3 linked regions of the Schizosaccharomyces pombe genome follow. The protein of the gene in region 1 purifies or fractionates together with the protein of each later gene. This does not show direct contact. Each region holds a gene or a part of one and is shown on either strand. Other genes may lie near its edges.

What was found.
Region 2: the proteins of epl1 (region 1) and png1 purify together in Schizosaccharomyces pombe (affinity purification with mass spectrometry, with the first as the bait; one study listed by BioGRID). This does not show direct contact.
Region 3: the proteins of epl1 (region 1) and tra2 purify together in Schizosaccharomyces pombe (affinity purification with mass spectrometry; 2 studies listed by BioGRID). This does not show direct contact.

Annotation. Positions count from the first base shown.
Region 1 is NC_003421.2:2,187,129-2,192,982, reverse strand, and holds epl1 (NuA4 histone acetyltransferase core complex-Piccolo HAT module linker protein Epl1), read left to right. Parts: upstream 1-2,107; 5' UTR 2,108-2,253; coding exon 2,254-2,421; exon of another isoform or gene 2,422-2,628; intron 2,629-2,942; coding exon 2,943-4,448; 3' UTR 4,449-4,900; downstream 4,901-5,854. Other genes in the region: cnb1 (calcineurin regulatory subunit B), read right to left, coding at 1-69, 123-235, 298-534, 728-779; protein mug128, read left to right, coding at 5,829-5,854. UniProt on the Schizosaccharomyces pombe protein: Component of the NuA4 histone acetyltransferase complex which is involved in transcriptional activation of selected genes principally by acetylation of nucleosomal histone H4 and H2A. The NuA4 complex is also involved in DNA repair.
Region 2 is NC_003424.3:3,167,110-3,171,690, reverse strand, and holds png1 (chromatin modification-related protein), read left to right. Parts: upstream 1-2,303; 5' UTR 2,304-2,648; coding exon 2,649-3,500; 3' UTR 3,501-3,797; downstream 3,798-4,581. Other genes in the region: phenylalanine--tRNA (Phe) ligase alpha subunit Frs2, read left to right, coding at 1-107; class 1 histone deacetylase Hos2, read right to left, coding at 277-1,581; tif211 (translation initiation factor eIF2 alpha subunit), read right to left, coding at 4,147-4,581. UniProt on the Schizosaccharomyces pombe protein: Component of a histone deacetylase complex responsible for the deacetylation of lysine residues on the N-terminal part of the core histones (H2A, H2B, H3 and H4).
Region 3 is NC_003424.3:257,563-262,894, forward strand, and holds the start of tra2 (phosphatidylinositol kinase-like protein Tra2), read left to right. Parts: upstream 1-2,048; 5' UTR 2,049-2,156; coding exon 2,157-2,220; intron 2,221-2,281; coding exon 2,282-5,332. Other genes in the region: plasma membrane potassium ion transmembrane transporter Trk2, read right to left, coding at 1-622, 658-1,558, 1,599-1,753, 1,794-1,899.

The DNA.
Region 1 (5,854 bases):
TTTGAACTCTTCAAAGCTAATTTTTCCATCGCGATCCTTATCAACTTCCATAATGGTTTTGTCAACAATCTAGTTATAATAGGAGTCAGATTTTGAGATAAGAGGTTTTGTCTATAACATACCTGCTGCAATTGATCTTCCCGAAGATTCGTGCCAACCATCATTTTCAGAACTAGATAAAGTTCTCCGTTTGAAATATAACCATCACGGTCAATATCATAAATCTTGAAGGCAACTAGATAAAACAATAATGTTAGAACATAATTTGCAAAGGAACGACAAGTTGATTGAGCTTACACTTCAGCTTTTCCTCTTTATTGCCATGCACTGAAAATACAGAAAGGCTATTAATAAATTCTTGAAAGTCCACATCTCCTCCACCGTCTTCGTCTACAACTGAAAACAGTCTGGAAGCAAGTGGGTTAGAAGCTACACTGGGAATCGACAAAAATTCGTTTCGGTCAATAGAGCCAGATTGGTTAGCATCTATTTTAATAAAACGCTTGCGAATTCTTTCTATCTCCTCATTGGAAACTAGATACAATGAACGTTAGCCGAGTCGCTTTGAGGTGCTAATACTTTTGCATTGTGCATGTGAAACCGGCAACTTTGATGAATTGGCTATAATCTTAAAAAGAAATAGACGACAAGAGATGTAAGTATTCTAACATGAAAAAATATAATGATAAGAACACTTTTGGCCACACGTACTAAGCATCAAACTTACAGGATGAATTTGAGATCAAGTCCTCAAAGATTTGCGACTGCGACTGACCCATGAGAGGGAAACACAATAATATGAAATGAGTAAGGTTCAATTAACAAACCAAGAATATAACGGTCAGCTACCTTTCAAAGAAAATTCCTTATATCGGTGGTGGTAGTTTGAGTCAAAATCCTTCTGAATGTAAGGGTCGAATGTCACTTGGCACACTTTGTCTTCCACCAATCTCAAAGATAATCGTGGAATCCGTAAATTTCAAAAAATGACTTGAAAACATGTTGGGTTGTGCAAAAAAATAGCTATGAAAATTATCTGTAAGCTTGTAATTGAAAATTCAACTGCAATGGCAGCTTTTCATTTTTAGAAAGGATGCATCAAACGAAAATCCGGCTTAAAAACGACAAAGAATTGAGGTTTAGAGCAATTCATAATTGCTTTGGAGATGGCTGTTTCTGCATCTTGGATTTTTAAAGGCGAGGTTTTGTAATTTTTCAAAACTAAATACCTTTAACCTTTATTCTTTCTGATGACCAAATTTTTTTTAAACTGCTTTAGCAGTTTTATGCTGATTAAGCTTTACCATATGAGCTTAAGATTATGAAGGAAGCAAAATCTGAGAATGAGCAATTTTTCGACATGTTTGGTAAGTATTTGAAAGGACTTTCGAATATTTGAAAGATTGCAATTCATGTTTTTAAATCAAATTTTAATCTTCCTGAAAAGGGCTTGGTTTCTGGAAAAAGCAAATGTGGAACGTTGAAAATGTTTGTCTACAACTTGCTTCGTTTTGAAAAAGACATTCATTTTTCTCACCCTATACTATGCGCAGTTGGCATAGATAATTGATGAGATACGGAAAACATCTTCGTTAGTGGAAAAAAATGTAGAATTTATTCCGCTGTTTACTTCTATGTTCCACCTGGCTCTGCTGCGAACAGTTTATTATTCTAACAGAAATGCCTATTCATGGTCTATAACACGCATTGAAAGTAAAAATCAAGTGCTTTTTTCTGCTACTAGAGACTACGAATACTAGCAGATCATGACTTTTCTTTTGAATTAGTAATGCTTTTTTTCTATTGAGTATTGACGAGGGTTTTCCGACGTCAATAAGATGAACTATGATAGAACTTGATTCCTTATAATTCACTATGGAGTTTTATGGACTTCACTTCAACTGATGGTTGACAATTTCCTCTTTTGTTTCTCCTGCCATCGGTTTCTTCCATTGTTTACACCTGGAATCTCCAGTAAATATCGCTACAATACGTTGTATATTAACGGTACGAGCGTATTAGAAAATTATTTTTGGTTACGTTGCTCCTCGGTAAATTATCGCAGTGAAGAGGTTTATGAAAAATTTCATTCGGTTTGTTAACCCCTAGTGGTTTGACACACCAACGACGACGGCCGTCAACTACGCCAGGATTTAGCGCCTGTTTCTACAAGATTTTGAGTGAGACGAGTATCTTATAATTTTACGGTTGGATAGATTTAAGTGATTGGAGTCCAACGATACCAATATTATCATGAGTTCCGTCTCCAAAAATGCTAGGGCATATCGTCAACGGAAGGTCGGTATTAAAACCGTTATGCCGATTTATTTCGAACGTGATATACCTGACTTTGATGAAGAAGCTTCACTTCAGCGGACAGTTCCCTTGGTGGAATCTGGTGTTGAAAAAGAAGAGGAAGAGGTAAGTGCGAACCCGAGAATGTGAAAGATAATGAAAAGTACGAAAAACCTTGGCTTCTTGATGGATTTCGTTGACAAAAATAAACACTCTTTTTAAAGGTGCTTAATCACCGTTTTACAATGTATACGAAGGGTTATGCGGAAAATTATGATTTGAGCGGAGTTGCATCGAATTTCTGAATTTTTTAAACTTGCTAGTTTGTTTGTGTTAAAGTTACTCTTGTAAAGATTAGTAAACTGAGAATTAAAAGTTACTTGAAAAATATTGATGCTCCTTCTTTCACGAATTTTGAGGTTTTTTTTTTTTTTTCAACGGATTCATTGAACCTTTTTAGTTTTTATTCTAAATTTGATTTTACTGAGAAAAGATTGCTACTTCATTATTGTGGCTAATGAATGTTTTGGGTTATGTTTCTAGCAATGCTTATTTATTTGATTATTTATTGTTTTTGGAATACAGCTGTCCTTTTTCTTATCGCTTTTCATTCATCTTCGATTACTTAGATTTCTAACAATTTATAGGAAAAACATTTGCAACAAGTCATCAATGAAGCCCATGAGGCCATTGTGCGTGGATCTGAAAAAAAGCTTATTATCCCTACACGGGAGGCTAAAAATATAGGTATAATTGACAAATATTACAAAAAGAATTTCATTCTTCCTAAGACATTAATTCGGTTTTCTCTCACTGTGGAAGAATGTACAAACCCAGAATATTGCATGGATGAACATGATACGGAATATTTTCTGAAGTTGAAACAGGCTCAACCTTCTCTTTCCAAATTTTCTGAATTAGATTTTGAAATTGTCATGCAGACGTTTGAAGAGGAAATTAATCAAAATCAGCCTTTTTTGAGCATGGATACCTCTCAAATATTGCCTTTGTCTGAGCTCATCACCTCCTTCGAGTTAAAAGATGTACTGTACTTGAAACCACTAGCTAGTCAAGTATACCCTTATTGGCGTGAGCGTCGTATCAGTAAGGGTGGTCTTCCAATTATGGCTAAAGCACAAGTTGGCGATGATAAGGATGATGATGATCCATATGTTTGTTTTCGTCGTCGTGAAATTCGACAGGCTCGCAAAACTCGTCGGTCGGACGCTCAGTCTTATGATCGCTTACGGAGGTTACGACAAAGCATGGAGACAAGTCTTCAGTTACTGGAACAAGTGTACAAACGTGAGCAAAAGAAGCTGCAAGCGCTTGAAGACGACTATGCTATTTTCCAGAAGCGCTGTCTTGTCAAAAAGCTTAAACGTACTCTAAATATAAAAGACAGTGATGAACTTTTAATCAATCCTAAACGACGTCCTATTGAGGTAAAGCCCGCCGCCCCTGTACCTACTCCAGCTCCACCTGTAAAAACTTCTCCTCACCCTGCTTCCTATCGCCCACAACCTACGCGAAATGTCGAAGTTCGACCGTTATTAATGCTTGATGATGTTCAATCAGCCCAAATTACACAATTTCAGATTCGTCTTCAGCAACGTCTTACCAAGAAGGAACAGCTCGATCGTAATTGGGTTGACCTTTTGGAGACGCCTAGTACCGTTATTCATACTAATTATCCCGATTCGTTTTACCGAAACATTATTCCATATTATTCAGGAAAAGAAACGAAACAATCCCATAATCAACTGAGTATTCCTTCCTCAACCCCTTCGACTCCATTATCTGATAATGGACCCACCTACTCTACACCTCACTCTTCCCTATCTAATTTTAATACGTGCGATTCACTTTCATTCTCTTCAAATAACTCTTTATACGGCTATAGCACTTTATTACATCCCAGAAATCCCATCTGCGTTCGACAACGAATAGGACGTGGAGGGCGTTTGATGTTGGATCGCACTCGTGCATTGCCAGTACATCGGTTGAGTAAACCAAAATCTCGTGTTGAAGATCGATGGCTTTTTGACATTCCCTTTGATGCCGATGACACAATTATACTCGATGATGAATCTGATGCTTCTATAATGTTTCGAGCTAGCTTGCTAAACGATGATATGGGTACTCAGTCATAAAACGCTTTTTATCTATGGTATTTATAATATTTCCATTACTAAAGATTTCGATCAAATTTTATTTTAACTATTTCTCCTCGACTAGCTTATTTAAGATTTTGATTGATTTCTTGAAGGGATTTGGGGTATAATCTATTTTTCTCTTTAGAAAAATAGTGTTTATTCATTTTTATGATTTTTGTTTGTCCAAATAAAAAATTTAATAGGGGGAATTGACTTGAAAGCATAGTCAGCTTTTTTTTTGGCTCACAAGATTTGATTTTGCTTCTACAGTCCAACCCTGGTTTTATGCATGCATAGATTCTTTATCGTCGCTAATTTATTTGATACTGTACTAGTTGAATCGGTGAATTGTTACAAAATTTTTGGTGATCCCGCTTTTTTAGACTTGCATGTGGTTAATGACTTTTTTAATGACATTCAATTCATTGTTCAGCTTTTTTAATTTAGCATATAATAAATATACGATGTACGAAGTTTATGTCTTAACGACTTATCGAATTCGTATTCAAATTGAATACATTTTTAGCTTTTTAAGTAGTTTTGGAAAAATTTCAGACTAAGTCATTGCGTTGGGTTGTTGATTATATATTTATTGGTTTCTTTCCTTTTTGTTCTATAACCATTTACTTTAGTTCTCTGAGCTTATTTTTTAGAAAATCATCCACTAACTATATGTCTCTCTCATTGCTACAAGATACAATAGCAAATATGAAGAAGAGTCATATCGAATTTATAATGCTCACTCTTAGTTTCCATAGTATGTGTTAATAAGGCGTACTTCTAGCAATTATGATTGCAGTAGGAGATTTAGAAATTATCGACTTAATTGAATATCAATAACCTTTATCTTTTTATTGTTGTTACTTTCAATTATAAAAAACTTGAAACAACTTTTTTAACTGAACTGACAAATTTTAGGTTCATCATAACGACTTTGGGGATTCAATTAAAGTCATTAAGTATATGAATGATTAATAGATTTACTGTTTAGCTTTTATGAAAATAAAAAACTAGTAATACTCACATGCATACTATTCACTTCATTGTTTACACTTAACTATTTACCAACAACTTCTTTAGTCACGTAAACTTCAACACTACCAAACGAAGATATAAAACATCTGCAATAATAAATCAGTCAAGGTACTAATTGATATATTGCTTTGGTAATATTACCAATTAAACATTCTTTTATATTTTAAATTTTAAAACAACACTCTTAACAGCCGCTCGATTCCATTTTAAATGCACAATTTTATAGCGAAAAGACTATTCAGGCCCAAAAACAGGCGCTACAAATCTCTCAAACGATGCGTACGTTCGGCGACGTATCGAATTTATTGTAGAATGGTCGACTGTCTGCAAAGCATCATAAACATGGAATATGCCAATTTGCATTATGT
Region 2 (4,581 bases), on another chromosome or scaffold:
CTATGATCAAATATGGTGTGGCCGACATTAGACAATTGATTGGTCCTAAGGTTAACTTGGACCTAATTGAGGCTAGCCCTGCAGTTCGTTTAGACAAAGAGGAATAAATTTAGTGTTTTTTTTTGCATAATCGTTTATAAAAATAATACATAATCACTATGGTAAACGTATTTTCGTATAGGGTCAATTATTAATATTTACAATGTCTATAAACATTAACTAAAATTATTTGATGTTTGTACGGATATCAAATAAAAAGTCGAAAATTCATTAATATCAGCCTCGAACGCGAACATCCACAGCTTTGTCTAAGTATTCATCATTCAACCGTTCGTCTTCTTCTTCCAAATGCCCAGTTAAGTCTGGTGGAATTTGCTGCATCTGAACGCTTGGCGCTCCTCCTAAGTAACGTAATTGCTCCAAGGCCCGTATTCGAAGATCTTCAAGAGCTTTCGGTGTATTTTTATTTTCTATCTTCGTGGTTAATCGCGGATGGAGGGTGTAATCTGGTGCGAAAAATTCGTAATACAAAGTTTCACGAGGTAATTCTGAAGGTATTTGTTCGTTTACACATATGGAAGTTTCATAACACCACGCTCTAGCAACATTTCTAAGAGTATAACCACCACCTCCAACTACAAGCATGGGTATATTGAATGAACGGGTAAATCTAACACATTCCCCATGTGCATGGATGCTCAGATTGAACACGCCGAGCCGATCATAACCAAGCGAATCAGCACCACACTGAAGGACAATTGCAGAAGGTTGAAAAGTATTGATAGTTGGTTCAATTATGGATTTGAAAAGACTAGTGTACTGTTCATCACCAATACCATCTTCCAAAGGAACGTTTAAAGCAAAATATTTCCCTCCTTTCACGCCATTTTCATCAAAATTACCAGTTGCAGGAAAAAAATCACCATTATACTTGTGAAAAGAAACCGTCAACACGCGGTCAGATTCATAGAATGCTTGCTGCACACCATCTCCATGATGAATATCGATATCGATATACAAAACGCGAGGAAAAAACCGTAGCATGTTCAAAATTGCTAGAACAATATCATTAACATAGCAGAATCCACTAGCCTCACCACGCTTTGCATGATGGAGACCACCGCTCCAATTGATAGCAATGTCTGTTTGACCTTGCACTAACTTCCGAGAAGCATCCAAACTAGCGCCTGCCGACCTTTGAGAAAATTCATAAGTGCCGTCAAAGACCGGACAGTCATCACCAATATTGAATTGTTGGAACTTATCAGCAAATTGTTCAGCATTATCAGGAGTAACGCGCTTAAGGAAATCCAAATAATCCTCCCTATGAAATTCTGACATTTCACCAAAAGTTGCCATCCGGGGGCTGAATACACTCATTTTGTTATGCAACCCATAACCCATCACTAAATGATTTGTAATGGTAATTCGATGGGGCTTCATTGGATGTTTGTCACCATAGTGGTAGTTTCCCACCTGTTCATCTAAGTGATATGTGACACGCTTTTTTTGAGGTCGAAAGCTAAAAAAAGACCCCTTTTCAACTTGTTCATAAGGTGTGGATGTCTCAGGAGTATCCATGATATACAGACTATTATACTAAAAAAAACCGCGAGACAAATTAAATGAAAATATCTTTTCTAAAGAAAGAACAAGAAAAGAATAAATAAAATTAAGAAACAAATTAATAACTGTTTCAGAAGAAACAAGAGAAATGAAAGTTATTGACCAATGCCAAATTAATATAAATCGAAAAACAACCCAGATTTTTTTATAGAAAAGAATTCAATCCAAATAATAAACAGCAACACGAACTGTAAATACTTTATTTTTACGTCGAGCGCAGAATACGTAGCAAAAGGTCGCTAAACCCGATACCTTATTAGATAAAATGTACAACTTCAACAAAGCGTTAATTCAAACTCTTTGAAGCCCATAAACACAAGAACAAATAGGATTTACAATTTTTTGAAGAATTGCTAGTGCTGGTTCATTCTTATAACTTAAAAATGTATATCTCAGTGAACACAGAAGGAAGCTACCAACTTAGGTGTAGTTTAGTATGTTATGCTTCCATATATGAACTAACACATTAATAACGTATCGTTATTACTTAAACAGATGGTAACCTTTAGCATGTGAATTCATAGACAATTTGGCAACTTAGATATCATACATACGTTGAAAAGATTTATCTTCAAAGTGATTTGGTTTGCGTGAATTCTTATGTTTTTATTTCGCCCTCTTTGCCTTCCAGTACTGTGTTTACATTATATGGAGTGGCGGAACTCAACACCAAATGTGGGCTACTATAAACAACCGGAAAAATTTTCAGCAGCTTAAGAGAGTGTAAAAATAATCTTTAAACGACACAAAAACGAGCCATAGGTTCATATATATTATTTCAATTAGTGTCTTTGTCCTTCTCGTTTGTACATTTATTGTCACATTCCTCTACTTTAAAAGATAAAGTCATAGTATCTTTTATTCATTAGTTATTGAAGTATCGAAAATATTAGTGGAATATCAACTTTCCCTATCTCTTTAAAAGACTCAAATCTCCCTTTCTTTTGGAATTTGAAATCATAATAATAATTTTTGCATAAAGCGGAAATTAGAACGTATCTATAATTTTCAATTTGAGAATAATGGCAGATGATACAGCTTACATACTAAGTGAGTATTTGCAAACGTTGGATAATGTTCCCAACGAAACAAAACACATCTTTGACGAAATTAGTGTGAAGGAAGTTGCTGTACATGACATCTGGAAGAGAATTCAAGCAGCTGATTCTCAGATTCAGTCATACATTAAATCACATGGTTCCTTGACCCCACATCCAAAAGAAGATGCTTTGTATTCGACGATTCGCGAGGAGTATCAAAAGGCAATTAATATACAGAACGAGAAAGTCCAGTTGGCGGATCGTGCCAGATTGGGACTTACACGGCACATAAAGCGATTGGATGATAGACTTGCAAAGGCCGGTCATGGATTTACAGCTGCGGAATTGTTAAATGCTCCTGACTACTATGCTTCTTCACCGTATGGTGGATACAGTCCAAGTGGTGCCTCAAGTGCTCGTCAAACACCGGCCCCTTCTCGGTCGGGAGCCTCAACAGCTGGTCGCCGTCGTACTTCAGCAACTACCAGGGGTGCAATTCAAAATGGAGTCTATCACTCTCCTTATACGGCTTCGTTGGCAGATTCTGGTTCAACTCGCGGTCAGAAGGTTTCGAATGCCACTGCAACCACCCAGTTAGAAACTAAGGCAGATTCCACAACGCCGAATGAAATGGTCTCAGAAGAAGATATGGAAGAGGATAATGAAAAGTATTGTTTTTGCCAGCAAGGATCATATGGGCAAATGGTCGCTTGTGACAATGCTAATTGTGAGCGTGAATGGTTCCATATGGAGTGTGTTGGTCTTAAAGCTCCTCCTGAAGGTACATGGTATTGCGAAGCTTGTAGGGATCAGAAGCTTGTTGATGCTAAGTAATTTTTCCCCAATCTAAAGTCTGTTGGTCTTCCCATTATTGAATGCAAGCATTGTTGTTTTTTTTTGGGCTTTAATATCCGCTAATTTTTCACCTGTTCCGAACTTACTATATTTGATTATACGTTGTTCAAGCTGTGTATATGTGATTTGCAAAATGGTTAATTTATTAATCATATCTTCACGATTACGAATCCTTTTTATCTTATTCTTGTCCTTGTTTGTTTTTCACTCACATAATAAGTACCAGATTACTTGTACATTAAGAAATTCAGTTCTTTAATTTCCCCAATCCTCCCCAAAGCAGATATTACACGCCGTAGCTAACCACAGTAATAAGTCTTTTGTAACTTTATTATTTGTAATTGCATTTGTTGTCCATTATTTCTACTATATTGGAACTGAACTTATTATTGTACATACAAAGGAACAAGATGCAGCGTCTAGCGTTTTCATATTATCTCGTAACATATAAAAGAACTCTTACGCATTCGGAAAAAAGAAGAGGAAATTTTTTAACCATAGATATCACTAGATAAATTTGATAAAGTGTATAGTACAAAATAAAAAGAACCCCAGATTATAATGGAACACTAAAGTGCCAAAAATTCACAATGAAAAAGCGTATATTAGCTAGTGTCTAATCCATTTACTCAGAACCGCTTTGGTCATCCTCTTCATCACCAGAGATTTCAGCATTTTCCTTTTCAAATTTTTTCATCAAATCGGCAAGCTCCAATTCGTCAGTTTCACTAACCGCCTTGGGTTTCATTTTAACAGTACAGGTACCATTGGATGCTGTAATGGATTTTTCGATTGCACCAATTGCCTCTTCTAGCTTTTTGAGACCCAATGACTTATCTAATGCGTTTGTCAAAAGGACGTAAAGTGGAGGAGCAACAAGTTTAACTTTGATAGGAACCTCCTCGGTATGAACATCTTCAGCAGCCTTCAAAGCGGCCTTGATAGCGTTAATACCTTCGTAGCCAAAGCAAGTGACTTCAACGTCAGCACGAATTTTAATGGGCTGAGGCGTCAGACGACGAGAGATTTGAGCCAACAAATCATTAATAACACCCGATTT
Region 3 (5,332 bases), on another chromosome or scaffold:
ATAATCCAAATTATAAACCGGAGCATAATTGGAAAGAAAGTATTCCCTAAAAATATCAGAATAGTTCCAAGAACCTGAGGAAATATGGCTTTTTGAAAGGAATTTAAAGAATCGCTGTTCAACGAATAGCCTAGATTATCAAACAGCGAACTAGAAGTAAACGCTGCCCACCAGCCTCTATTTATACCGCCGTCCGTAACTACACGACCGGATGTTTTAGCAGTATAAATGAATATTAGGAACGCAACCAAACCAAGAATATGCCAAAACAGAAAATAAACCACTAATATGACAGTCAATATCCTGAGAGATTCATATTCAATTCCCGCCAATTCTTCTCTCTCCACTGGAGTTAAGGCATAAAATGCAGAATTTCTGCCCACTGTTGCATTGTACGATAAATAAGGTAAACTCATTGTGCTAGCTTTCGTGTGAGTACGGTTGAATGTGAGTCTTCGAGGAAGAGCAGATGTAAATGATTTGGCTAATTGAAATGGTAGGACAGACATTGAGCGCTCATTCCTGTGAAGTGTAGGTGTAACAGCAAATGATTTACCACGTTTTCTACCTCGTCCATCAAGTCGATGAGCACCTTTTTCCTGCTCAGCTCCATTCGTGTCATCTAAAGGTCAATATTAAAATCACGGAATGACTTACCAGCAAAATATATAGGCCTGCGATTATGCCTGGGAACAGGGGTTGGTGCAATGGTAATTGCAGAGCCGCGTACTACATTTTGATGTGCATCGTTAGTAGTTGCAGCAGCCTGATGATCAAAATTCGAATTTTGAGGTGAATAAGATGCTACATGTGGATCATTGTCAACTCTTGTTGTGCTGTAGTTTGAGTTTGAGGATGAAACAGTTTCCTGATTACCATCATTTGCAGTTTCTAGGGAAGGATTGTGCGAAGAGATAGAACTGTTGTTATCCAGATGATGGTTCAGTTGTGTTTGATTCTCGTGGTCATGTACTTGAGGCTCAAAATCCTCAGGAATTGTTTGAAAAGATGATTCTTCAAACGAACTAGGAATGTAAAAGTCGACAGGATTATTTCTAGCATTGTTTTGTACAACGGATAAAGATCCATTGTCGATTGATGCCATTCTTCGTTTCCCAAGAGCTGGACTTAATGCTTCAGTTCTGTCTTCATTTTCTTGAGAATTTCTAACACCTGCATAACTAGGGAGAGCGGGCATGGTATTCCCGCGAAAGAAGCTTGGGCGATCGATTGCATTAGCAAATTTCCTTAGACGAAAATGGTGCCTGTGATGTTTTTCATTCTCTTGGTGTTCAGCTTCCTCAGCCTTAGTCTCTGGGGCAACTGGCCGGTGCATTTGATTACCCTGGTCTAACAAAACCCGAATTTTTCGATTGCCAACTTTGGAAGGCTCTGGAGTATCCCTTCTTCTTACAGTGTGATAAGTATATGTCATCCTAAGTTTATTATTTGTTATGACCATGTCATATCGCTTGTTATAGAAGTACAGCTTAAACAAAGTCAAGCCCAGGTTCACAGTAATTGGTGTACTCAAAACTCCAAAAAGGAGAATAGTTAACTAAAAAATAGTTAAAAAATTTATTTAAAAATATGCATACCTGTTGGTAAATGGATATCTGCGTGAGGTCCACAGGCTGCAAGCCAGTCTGAGTACAAGAACCAGAAGCCAACAACAAAGCATCTATGTAGCGCAAATTTCCCGACCCATACAATATTACTGAACATAAAATAGTCATTCCTATTATAAAAGAATCTTGAACAAAGTTAGGCTTGAAAAGAAGTTTTTCACATACAATGGTATTCAAGGAACCGGAACCGTTTGTAGAAAAACCCGATAACTGCATGATAAAATCTGTATAATATTTTCCTTCTTAAAAACCTTCTATATCGTACAAACATGTCATAGTTTATAAAGCAGTATTATATTGTATTTGATAAAAATTACACTCACGTCGATTTCAAATAGCTTCAGTGGCTTCTTGAATAGTGCAGTTTTGCGTCCTCACTATACGATTCACCTTGAACATAGCAACAACTAAACAACATCTGACAGTAATCGTTCTGTGCTTTTTTACAGCTGTGTCCAAAATCTCGTAGTGTATCAAGTTTGGTTTCAAAGATTTATTAAAAAGTATCTGCATGGACCGAACTTTGTTATGGAAGACGGTTTTGAAAAGTCGCTCAGCAGCTCTATAGAGCTACTGAAAGCTGAAAGTACAGGTATATAAATTTTTGTAGATATTTTGATTCATTTTTTTATTTTATACTAACTTTTTTTAAGAAATAGAAGAAAAAATCAAACTAACTAAAATTTTAATTACTAAGGTTTCTAGCATATCTTCAGACGCCTCGCAGCTGTATGCAGAATTAATTCCACTACTCTTGGATTTTTTACGAAATACAGAGGTGAATCTTTATAGAAATTCTTCTGTCAATGAACTCAAGATCGAAGCATTGACTTTAATACAAAGTTGCGCTCACCGTGATGAATTTAAACAATATGCGCAGTCTTGTGTGCTTTCGTTCATTAGCTTGATTAAAGCAGATAATGAAGAAGTCGCTGTTTTTTGCTTAAAAGTTATTATGGATATATTCAAAACTTTTAAGTTTTGTATAGAAAGCACTGCACAACCCTTTTTTGACTTGGTACTTGAGCTTTCTACAAACCTTCCTTATTTAATTCCCTCAATATTTGTCGAGAATCCAAAATCAAATGAAGAGGAAAATACAACCCTGGCTTTTGGTAGTTATCTGTCTACGGAAACTTCAATCATCCAACAGCGTGTCAATTCTTTAGCTATTTCTACTCAACCTTTGGAACTGGCTTCTCAAAGTTTCCGCGTGTATGTAGAGTGTCCGGTCATTATAGTTTTGATTCTTCAAGCATATCGTCAAGCTGCTTTCCCTGGTGTTCAAGCCATAATTCCCTGTTTTCTTAAGATGGTACAAATTGATGTTCCAATAGACATCGCTTCATATGCAATGATTGAAAAAGATTCAAGCATTGACTTTATTGAGTTTATAAGGAATAAATATCAGTACCGTAATTTTTTTATGGCTCAAGTAAAGACTTTATCTTTCTTGGCTTATATTTTACGAACTCATCCCAATACACTTTCTGAGAAGGATATAATACCGGACATTGTAATAAAGCTTTTGAGGCGATGCCCTTTTGATATGTGTTTTGCCCGTAAAGAACTGCTGGTTGCTACGAGACATATTCTGTCAACAAACTTAAAATCTCTTTTTGTCAAAAAGCTGGATTTTTTGTTAGATTTAAATATATTATTAGGAAATGGAGTTGGTACTCAAAAGCTGTTACGTCCCTTGGCATTTAGTACATTAGCTGACTTACTTCATCATGTACGTGACGAACTTAACGAAACGCAAATAAGAAAATCTATAATGATTTATTCGACCAATATGCATGATTTGACTCTTAGCATTGGGTTACAGACTATGGGTGCCCGGCTCATTTTAAACATGGTTGACAGAATGATTAGTCTTCCTAGCATCCCCGATGCTATATTTCTTCTTTTATCTATTTTTGATAGCTTTGTAAATAAGTTTTCGGAACTTAATGATAGTTTGGATCAGTTTTTTAAGAAAAAGTATGAAGAAGAAATTAAAGAGACAAAGTCACCGACGCGTTCTTCTCCTAGGGATTTATCTTCATTTAGCACTTCCGTCAATGATGGATCATTTCTTTTTAAAAACTTGATGTTTGGCTTACGGGCTCTTATGTATGGGCTTCGTACATGCAAGTCTCGATGCATAGAAATTGGAGGTGAACAATTTTCGGGATTCCTTACGAATATCAAGCCTTTCGAAGCTGTTACGTTTCAGAAGCTTTTTTTTGAGGTTGGCAAAGGATTCTCATATTTTCGACCTGAGCAAGTCTATTTAGAAACTTTTTTCTGCTGCGAAGAAGAAAGTTTAGATCGCCCTGCTATATCTACGCTTCCTCGTAACAAAGACGAGAAAGATTGTCTTGAAGTATTTGCTACCATTTTTATACATCTCGAGCCATCTATATTTCTTAAAGTTTTTGAAACAAACCTTCCTACTTTTTTTGATCAACTTAAAAAAAATCTCACATTATTTCACATTCCACAGTTTTTGCTTTCAAATGAGAGCACATCATCAAAATTTTTAAATATTTTACTTCGATTTCTGCTTTCCAGAATTGAGGAACTCGGATCTTCTGACATCAGGCATGGTTCTGTCTTGTTGCGTTTGTTTCGTCTTTCTTTCGTTACAGTCTCAATGTTTGCAACAGAGAATGAGCCAGTTCTTCGGCCTTATGTATCTGAAATTATTGTGAAATGTATGAAGTTGGCTCCCAATTCTGCTAATTCATTGAACTACTATTATCTATTAAGAGCGTTGTTCCGAGGAATTGGTGGGGGAAGATTTGAAAGCCTTTATAAAGAAGTAATGCCTTTGTTGCACGCTCTATTAGAGGCATTTAATTCATTGCTTATATCTGCCCGTACTCCGAAGGAGAAAGACCTTTTTACCGAACTTTGTCTTACTATTCCTGTAAGGCTTAGTCTTTTATTACCATACATGAGTTATCTAATGAGACCTCTCGTCATGTCTTTAAAAAGCAGTCAAGAATTAGTTAGTCAGGGATTACGAACCTTTGAATTATGCTTGGATAATCTCACTCCTGATTTTTTGGATCCGATAATGGCTCCTTACATAGAAGATCTAATGAATGCTTTATGGAGTCATCTACAACCTCTTCCTTATAATTATAATCACAGCCATACTGCCTTGAAAATACTTGGTAAACTTGGTGGAAGAAATAGGAAGCTTCTTGATAGAGTCCAGAGTTTAAAGAATTCGCCGGAACCGAATAACGATTTTACTTTACTTCTTTCGATAAAAGGGGTTAAACAACCACAACTTTTACATTACACCCAATATGTTGATGAGGCTGTGAATTTGCTTTCTAGCCCTTCTAGTGATCTGGAGGTTAAGCAACAAGCGTTCACTTATGTTTGCAATATTTCAAAGCTCTATGTTTATAAGAGTGACGCTACTAACAGCTTAGCCTCATCCATTCGATGTACTGCAGACAAGATTTCTAAGAGTAATTTTGATTTTCGACGACCATATTCTGTAATACCGAGCCGAATGACTGGAAGGAGTTCATTCACCCAACTGAGTGATGATTCAGATGAAACCATAATTTTGGCCTCGGCTACATATGGACTTTTTTTTGCTACGACGGTTGATGAACTCCGCGAAGAAGCTTACTTCTGGCTTGAAAAACTGGCGGTCAACGTAATTGTACACGATATTTTTTATGCTTTTGACGTTATTC